Linked DNA regions of Stegostoma tigrinum. The protein of the gene in region 1 purifies or fractionates together with the protein of each later gene. This does not show direct contact. Links are inferred from orthologs where the notes say so. Each region holds a gene or a part of one and is shown on either strand. Other genes may lie near its edges.

Region 1 (3,749 bases):
CTCACACTGACATTCAAAAGCAGTACTGAGGGAGTGCTGCACCATCAGGGGTAGCAATAAATCAGGGCTCAGTCTGTGCTTTGAGTTGGATGGCAGTGATCCAATCACTGTTTCAAAGAACAATGATGTTCTCCAATATCTTATGAAATAGAAGCAAGAGCAGGCCATTTGGCCCTTCAAGCCTCCTCCACTAGTCAAATAAAACCATGGCTGACTTGATTGTGACCTCAACTCCAATCCTAATCCTGTGCTTTCTCAACTCCCTTGTCTATCAAAGGTCTGCCTAACACACTGACAGAAAATCCCACACACTATTGACTCTCAAGAAATTCCTCCTCATCTGCCTTAAACAGGAGACTCCTTATTTTGAAACTGTGTCCCCTAGTTCTCAATGACTCTATGAGAGAAAACATATCTGCAGAATTTTATATTTCAGTAAAATCAGATTCTTCCAAATTCAAATGTGTATCGGCCCAAAAGACCCACCATTCTTGGAAGACTAATGCTGTCATGCCCGGAAGCAGTCAAGCAAACTTTCTCTGAATTGCCTCCAATGCATGTATTCCCCAGATATTCGAGATGAAAACTTTTTTGCTCGGCCTGCTGTGTTCATCCAGCTCTACACCTTGTTATCACAGCACAGCAGACTATTTTTGTCTTTCTATCTCTGTAACATATGTATTGTGGAAAACGCTCATTTGTCCTGCATTGGTAGAATTTTGTCTACTTCAAAGGCACAGCATATGTGTCCGAATCAAACGACTATGGGTTCGACCGAGTCTCATTGCAGTAGGTACGGGCCAGTTATTGACTGCAGCACCGACATGAATGGGTCAGGGGCTCACTTAGCAGCCGATGGGAGCATGCTGTGCGCAAATTAGAGACGGGGCTTCCTAACACGACCACAAGAGGCCGTGAACATTGTGTTCGGTGGAGAGGCGGATTTTGAGATTTCTTCTTGAAATTGACATCTGCAATGCATCGGAAGGAAGAAGCTCCCGAATGCGGCCAGGCAGGGTCCCCGCCCCCGATGAGTAGGGAGGGCTGAGGGTGATGGGATGAAGGAAACTTCAGTCTCTCGGAGTCAGACAGTTGTTGGCGGGGTTGAGTTTAAAGCAGTGACGCTCTATCAGTCCCCTCCCTCCCCGGGGCCTATGTTAATGAGAGGGGGTGTATCCATTCTCGGTTTGCCTGTGAGAGCGGAGGGGAGGGAGAGCAGCTGGGAGTTTGTGGGTGAGCGAACCCTCCGATTCTCTGTGTTGTTTGTAGATGCTTTCCTTTTCTGAATGGTTTTTCTTCTGTTTTGCACAAGGGGTACGGGCTGGAGGAAGGAAAGAGTCCGTTCACTTGGAGGGGGGTGAAGAGGGGAGTGTGTGTGTGTGTGTGTGTGTGTGTGTGTGTGTGTGAGTGTGAGTGAGAGAGAGAATGTGTGTGCGCTTAGGAAGGGGGTGGGGGAAGAGCTCCCCGGCCTTGGCGAGTGCTTCCTGAGCCTGGGGAAGGGCTGGGTTTGGGGCGGCTGCTGCTGCGAGCCAGGGGCAACGTTCGACTTCACCCGCTATCCCCCTGGGGAAGGGGGAGAAAAACACACCGTGCTCCTGAAGCCACCCCCGCCCCCCCAAACCGGGGCTGCCTCTTCTCGGGGAGGGAAGGTGAGGAGAGGGCGGTGTTGCTCTCACTCTCTCTGGCCATCAGCTTACTATTTATAATCTGCTCGGTGGGGAGTAGCGGCACGGAGAGAGCGGGGCTGCCCGCTCTCGTGTAGCTGGAGAGGGGAGCGAGGCGGAAGGGAAGCTGCGCAGTCTACGGGCCATTTTGTTGTGTCGGATTCTCGGAGCCGCTTTGTGGGGAGGGGAGGGGACGGGAGGGACTTGATCGGATTAGGCTCCACCTCCCCTTGTGCCTTCAGACACCCCCACACTCCTCCCGTGCTGGAGAGCCGCTTCCATCATTCTCCCCGCGCATACCCTCTCCACTCCCTCACCCCCAGCGGGAGTGTCTCCGATCCCGGAATGTGTAACAAAAGCCTGTCGCAACTTTCTGGGTCGTGGAACCAGCCTTCCACCGGCCTCAGCTCCCGGGGACGGACAATGAGGAAGAGAAGCGGCGGGGAGAGGTGACCGGAGGGGGGGGGGGGCGGCGGGGGTGGTGTATGATGTTTCATTCGTTCCCGGCCCCATACTGCCGCCACCACCACCTTCCCCGACTGTGTGCACCCTGGCAGTTAAACACCACTACCACCACCACCACCTTCTCCTTGGGTAGCGAATCTCTTCCTACCCGCCCCCACTGCCATGGGTTAGCACATCCACAGGCAGCAACCAGTCGTCGTTGTCGTCGTCCTCCTCCTCCTCCCCGCGACTCCGGGGTCTGCGGCCTCCTGGCTCGCTCCCACACAGTAAACACGGTATAGCCCCGCCCCCAGATCACTGGCCCCGCCTCGTACTTCCTATTGGTAACTACCGACTGTCGCCGCCTTCCCATTCCTGATTGGTTGGTACTATAAGGAGCTGATTGGCTCCTGCCCCCCTCGGATGCGTCACAATGGAGGTTCACATAACGGGGCGGGGATTCCCTCACGCGCGGAATGGGATTGTAACAAAGAGACAGGGAATTCCCACCCGGAATTACTCTCTCCGGTGGAGAGCCCAACGGTGGAGTCACCCTCGTCGGGGTTTGGGGGGCAGAGAAGGAAGGAAGCCAGGAGGAATCCTGCTTGCTATAACCCTCACCTGAATCAGTCAACCCTGGGGAACTGGGGCAGGAGTCCTGCCCGGAGTCCCCCTCTCCCGCGGGGAAAGACAAACGAGGACTTTCCCCCTGGAATTAATCTCACCCTGGAGGAAGGGGTGGGGTGGAGAAAGAGAGACCTGCCCGCTGTCACACTCTCGCGGGGAAGAGACGGATCCACCCAGCGTCACCCGGGGATATTGGATTTCCTCCTGCTCGGAGTCACTCACTGGGTTTCCCGCTCCTCTGAAACTTAAATGACAGCAATGAATCCAGTTCCTTCCAGCTTCCAACCTGAAACCTTCAGGAAAGAAAGAGGAAGCCGAATGCCCTAGTTGAGTCACCCCGGGGAGCCACTGCTGTATTTTGGGTACCGAACTCCTAAACGCGAAGGGCCGCGTGGATTCGGCGAATTTTGAAGCGTCCTGGTTCTTATCACAAATTCAAGAGTGAAAACACTACCCACCAATGAAAAGCTCCAGGGCCAGTGTTGACTGTATCGAGTTCGGGGCGAGCAAGGGGTGGAGCCCAGACTTTATTGACCCAATTGTAATCATCCTTCAATCTTATTTATACTCTGGTGTTCTGTGCCCCTCCAAAAACAGTGAATTCAGCGATCTTACGGTGTTTATCGAACTTTCGACCTACAGGCGATGAATAATATTTACTATTAGTGGTAGCAGAGAGGTTGAACAGTTAGAAGATTCGAAGCTGCTGAGCCGTCTAGGTCTCCTGAGAAAGGAAATCGACTTTTACTTTTTTTAAAAAAAGTGCACGAACACCGCACTGGGCCCGACTCCATATTTTAAACTCAAAAAATACCCTCCCGCTTGCTAACTTGGTTCTTCATTCCCTAAGGGCTTGAATCATAAATTTGTAAACACGTTAACAAATCAAAACACAAATAGCCTTACATAAAGAAGGTCTGGCAGTCTCCATGGAGAAACAACGTAAAGGTTTCGAGTCCAATCTGACGCTGCTTGAGAAGTGACCTTGTTTGGGAATTGCAAGCTAGGGGGAGG
Region 2 (3,749 bases), on another chromosome or scaffold:
TGAAGTCCACATTGATACCATTGGGCTGCAGGGTTCCCAAGCGGAATATGAGTTGCTGTTCCTGCAACCTTCAGGTGGCATCATTGTGGCACTGCAGGAGGCCCACGATGGACATGTCGTCTGAGGAAGGGGGGGGGGGGGAGAAGAGAGAGTTAAAATGGTTCGTGACTGGGAGGTGCAGTTGTTTATTGCAAACTGAGCAGAGGTGTTCAGCAAAGTGGTCCCCAAGCCTCCGCTTGGTTTCCCCAATGTAGAGGTAGCCACACCGGGTGCAGTGGATACAGTATACCACATTGGCAGATGTGCAGGTGAACATCTGCTAATATGGAAAGTCAATGGATTTTTAATGGGTTAGGGTTTCAGTTTGTCTACTCCATCATCCCCTGCATGGCTAATGGAGCACACGGCGATTCTTTTTTCCATCCAGCTTCGTCCTCAAAAGGAGGTGGTGCGGTGGCAAGGTGGCAGAATAGGCTACATGGAAGATCCATTTTTTAGTCCTGCAGCATACGTTTTCTAATGGGAAGGGCCATTGGGGTTCACTGGTATCTCTGGGTCAGAAGGAACAAATACCATTTGGAGCAAATACCAACTGCTCCAGAGGTACATCATAATATGACTGAACAGGTCAACTGGAAAATATCTAGCTGCAGGGTGAATAACCAGAGAACTTGCTGCTACTCACCAATTTCTTCCGCTTCTTCAGCTTAGTTGGTTTATTTTCCTTTTGTTTTTTCAGGAATTTCTTCTTCTTCTTTTTGGTACTTTCACTGTCTGAAATCTCTTCGTCCTCCTCTTCCACATCTTCTGCTGAAACAAGAAATGTGCAACTGTTTCAATTCGGCAGCATTAAACACCAAGGCCTTAAGTACTTAGAGGTTGCCATTCGGCTTAGAGCCTGCTCTGCCCTTCAACCAGATCACAGCCAATTAATGCAATTTTCTGAAGAAGGGTCCAGACCCGAAATGTCAGCTTTCCTGCTTCTGTGATGCTGCCCGGCCTGCTGTGTTCATCCAGCTCGGCACCCTGTTCTCTACTTAAGTGTTCTTTTAATATATGAATTATGCTTCGATAGAAAGCATCCAGGGATCAGCCAGCACTGGGGACCATTAGAAAACCAACGCAGCTGCTGCAGCGGTAGAATAGGGGCACACAGAAATTTTAAAAAAAATCAGGAATAACGGAAAAGCGTGGAGAAGGATGTACTGGGTTAAGGAAGAGAGGGTGAGGATGGTGAGTTCAGGGTCTTGGAACAGGAGCTGGCCATCGGGACATTCCAAGATATTCCACTGTTCAAAAAGTTACCGTTTGGCGGGGGAGAAGGTGTGTCTCAGCTCCACATGCCTCTGAGGCGGATCAGTTGGGGAGAGCAGATGCTGTACGTGGAGGAAGGCTGGTGTCGGGGCAGTGAAAGAGTTAAAGGGAGCCGCCGCCGAGCGAGAAAATGGCGGCCGCCGGCTTTGTTTTTTTTTGGGGGGGGCGCGAAAGGAGGAGAAAAGAAGGATAAATGGGCAACTAAACAAACTGGCAGCCGATCTTATTGTGGGGGGAGGAGGAAGAGGAAGACAGGGCAAACAACGAGCAATTGAGGATATCACAAAGATATAAATCGCACCTATGGTGAAGGGGGGGGGTTTATTACCTCAGATGAAAACATCCGTGGAGCTCACAAGAGGAGCACACAAAGAGAAAATTTAAAGTCCGCCCCGGGTGGGGGGGTATTTACACAGATATTGTCGAGGGTGGGGGTCGGAAAAAGGAAGGTTTGTTTCGCCGGGAGATCGTGCTTCTCTCTCTCTGTGTCTTGTCTGTCACTCGCCCCCTCGGCGGGTTGTTGTTGTAGCAGCAGCGTTTGATTGACAGGCGCGGCCGTTAGCACAAGGAGCGCGCGGCCCCCGGGGCTCGGGCTTCCACTTGCAGCAGGAGCCGCGTCTGAGGGCACAGGGAGCGGGAGGAGGAGTGAGGGTTTAAACGGCGCGAGAAAGAGAATGAACTTTACGGCCGCTGCAAGCCAACAATCCGGGGGGGGGGGGAACATTCCCAAAAGAAAAATAGCTTTAACGCGTGCAGCCGGCCAAACCGAAAGAAAAATAAAACGCCGGCGTCGGAGAGGACACCAACCAAATATTGAGAGATGAGAAAAAAAACACAAACGACTGCACGGGGAGGGGGGCTGTGGGTGTGGAAAAAAATAATTCGTGGGGGTGAAGGGAAGAGATGCCATATTGCCATTGCAGCCCTCCGCCCCTCGTGCATTCTACCCGAGCACTTAATGTCGAAAGGTTTTTGCAATTTTGGGGTTGGGAGAAAAATAGCTTTTAGAAGCGGCCCCGGGGAAAGCGGCGCGCGCGCTAACCTGCCGCTGGCGGGAAAAGCTGCAAACCGGCGCCGCTGCGTTCGTCCATGTCCTCCTCATCCTCCTCCTCTTCTGGGTGCCTCACTGGAGATGCCATGGCCTCAGGAATTTCGCCCACCCCTCCCTACTCACTCAATAAAAATATATTTCCTCACTCTCTTTCCTCTCCCCCCTTCCCTTTTCATATATGTACACAAAATAACGAAAGCTACGCCAGTCTTTCTTCGGGAACACCCCCCCCCCCCAACGGTTTCTATTTTTTCCCCTATACACACAAACAAAAGTTATCCTACAGACTTTTGTTTTTGTGTGAGGGTTTCCTGTAAAGATCAGATCTCTCTCCTTCGCTAGTTTTCAATTTAAAGACCCCCCCTTCCCTTTCTTAAGGAAAAAGTTCCAAGCTACTTAACCAAACCCCCTCAAAAATGTTTTAATATACAAGGGGAAGAAAAGATGGCGTCCAAAATATTTTCCACCCCCCCATTATGAAATTTGGTGGGGGGGGAATTTGAAGAGAAAAAAGGTGGAAAATTAATCAGTGCTCATGCTCAGATTGACGTCACCCCCTCCCGTTGCTATGGGCACCCTGCATCCCATAATAGCACCAGTTTAACTAGTTAGGACTGACTCACGTGGGTCTTTAACCAAGTAACCAGGGGATGTCCAGCAATTGCCATTTTTCAGTCAAGTTGGTGAGGGTGGTCAGCCTCCTTTTGGCCCTATTGCTCCTGATTCATTAACATCATGATAAACACCTTCAAGGTCAACTTTCAACTTATATTTTGGTCCTCTCTGCTCGGTCAAACATGAGCATCTTCCTTCTTCTTTTCATGCTCAAACATTTCCTACCCAGTTCGAAGAAAGATGCCCGCTTCTTTCCTCTCCTCAATGTCCCTGGGTCCTCACAGCAACTTGTTAAAAAAAATTGTCCCCTATCTCATCTCCAAAATTTTCCCGCGAACCAAAAGAAACAGCATTTTTTTTTAAAAAGTCCCACTGGCAATGTTATTTTCCACTTCAAACCTAAAAAAACTGATGGCCCCAATTTGTTGGACACTGTATTAAAGCAGCAGAAACAATATATTTGGTGCAACATTGCTCCCAAGGGATTCATGTCTGGTGGCTCAGTGAGTAGCACTCAGGCTGTGACTTTATATTCCCTTGGCAGAGATTTGAGCGCTACATTCTAGCCGACTTTCTCAGCGCTTCAGAGGAAGCACTGCCTCGTCAGAAGTACCATCTTTCAGATGTTATATTAAAATATGACACCGTCTACCTCTTCAGTGGGACGTAAAATATCCCATGACCTCTGTTTCAAAGAAGGGCAGGGGAGTTCTCTTCATTAGCTCCAGCTAATATTTATCCCTCAAACAAAAATTATCCCCAGATTATC

The links. The genes of interacting proteins can lie anywhere in the genome.
Region 2: the proteins of sin3aa (region 1) and chd3 purify together in Homo sapiens (affinity purification with western blotting; 3 studies listed by BioGRID, with this or other methods). This does not show direct contact. The link is inferred for Stegostoma tigrinum from reciprocal best matches to the Homo sapiens genes SIN3A and CHD3.

The regions. Positions count from the first base shown.
Region 1 is NC_081389.1:4,649,386-4,653,134, forward strand, and holds the start of sin3aa (SIN3 transcription regulator family member Aa), read left to right. Parts: upstream 1-1,191; 5' UTR 1,192-1,233; intron 1,234-1,545; exon of another isoform or gene 1,546-1,649; intron 1,650-1,966; exon of another isoform or gene 1,967-2,113; intron 2,114-2,978; exon of another isoform or gene 2,979-3,276; intron 3,277-3,749. UniProt on the Homo sapiens protein: Acts as a transcriptional repressor. Corepressor for REST. Interacts with MXI1 to repress MYC responsive genes and antagonize MYC oncogenic activities. Also interacts with MXD1-MAX heterodimers to repress transcription by tethering SIN3A to DNA.
Region 2 is NC_081398.1:14,312,441-14,316,189, reverse strand, and holds the start of chd3 (chromodomain-helicase-DNA-binding protein 3), read right to left. Parts: upstream 2,893-3,749; 5' UTR 2,454-2,892; coding exon 2,357-2,453; intron 811-2,356; coding exon 686-810; intron 1-685.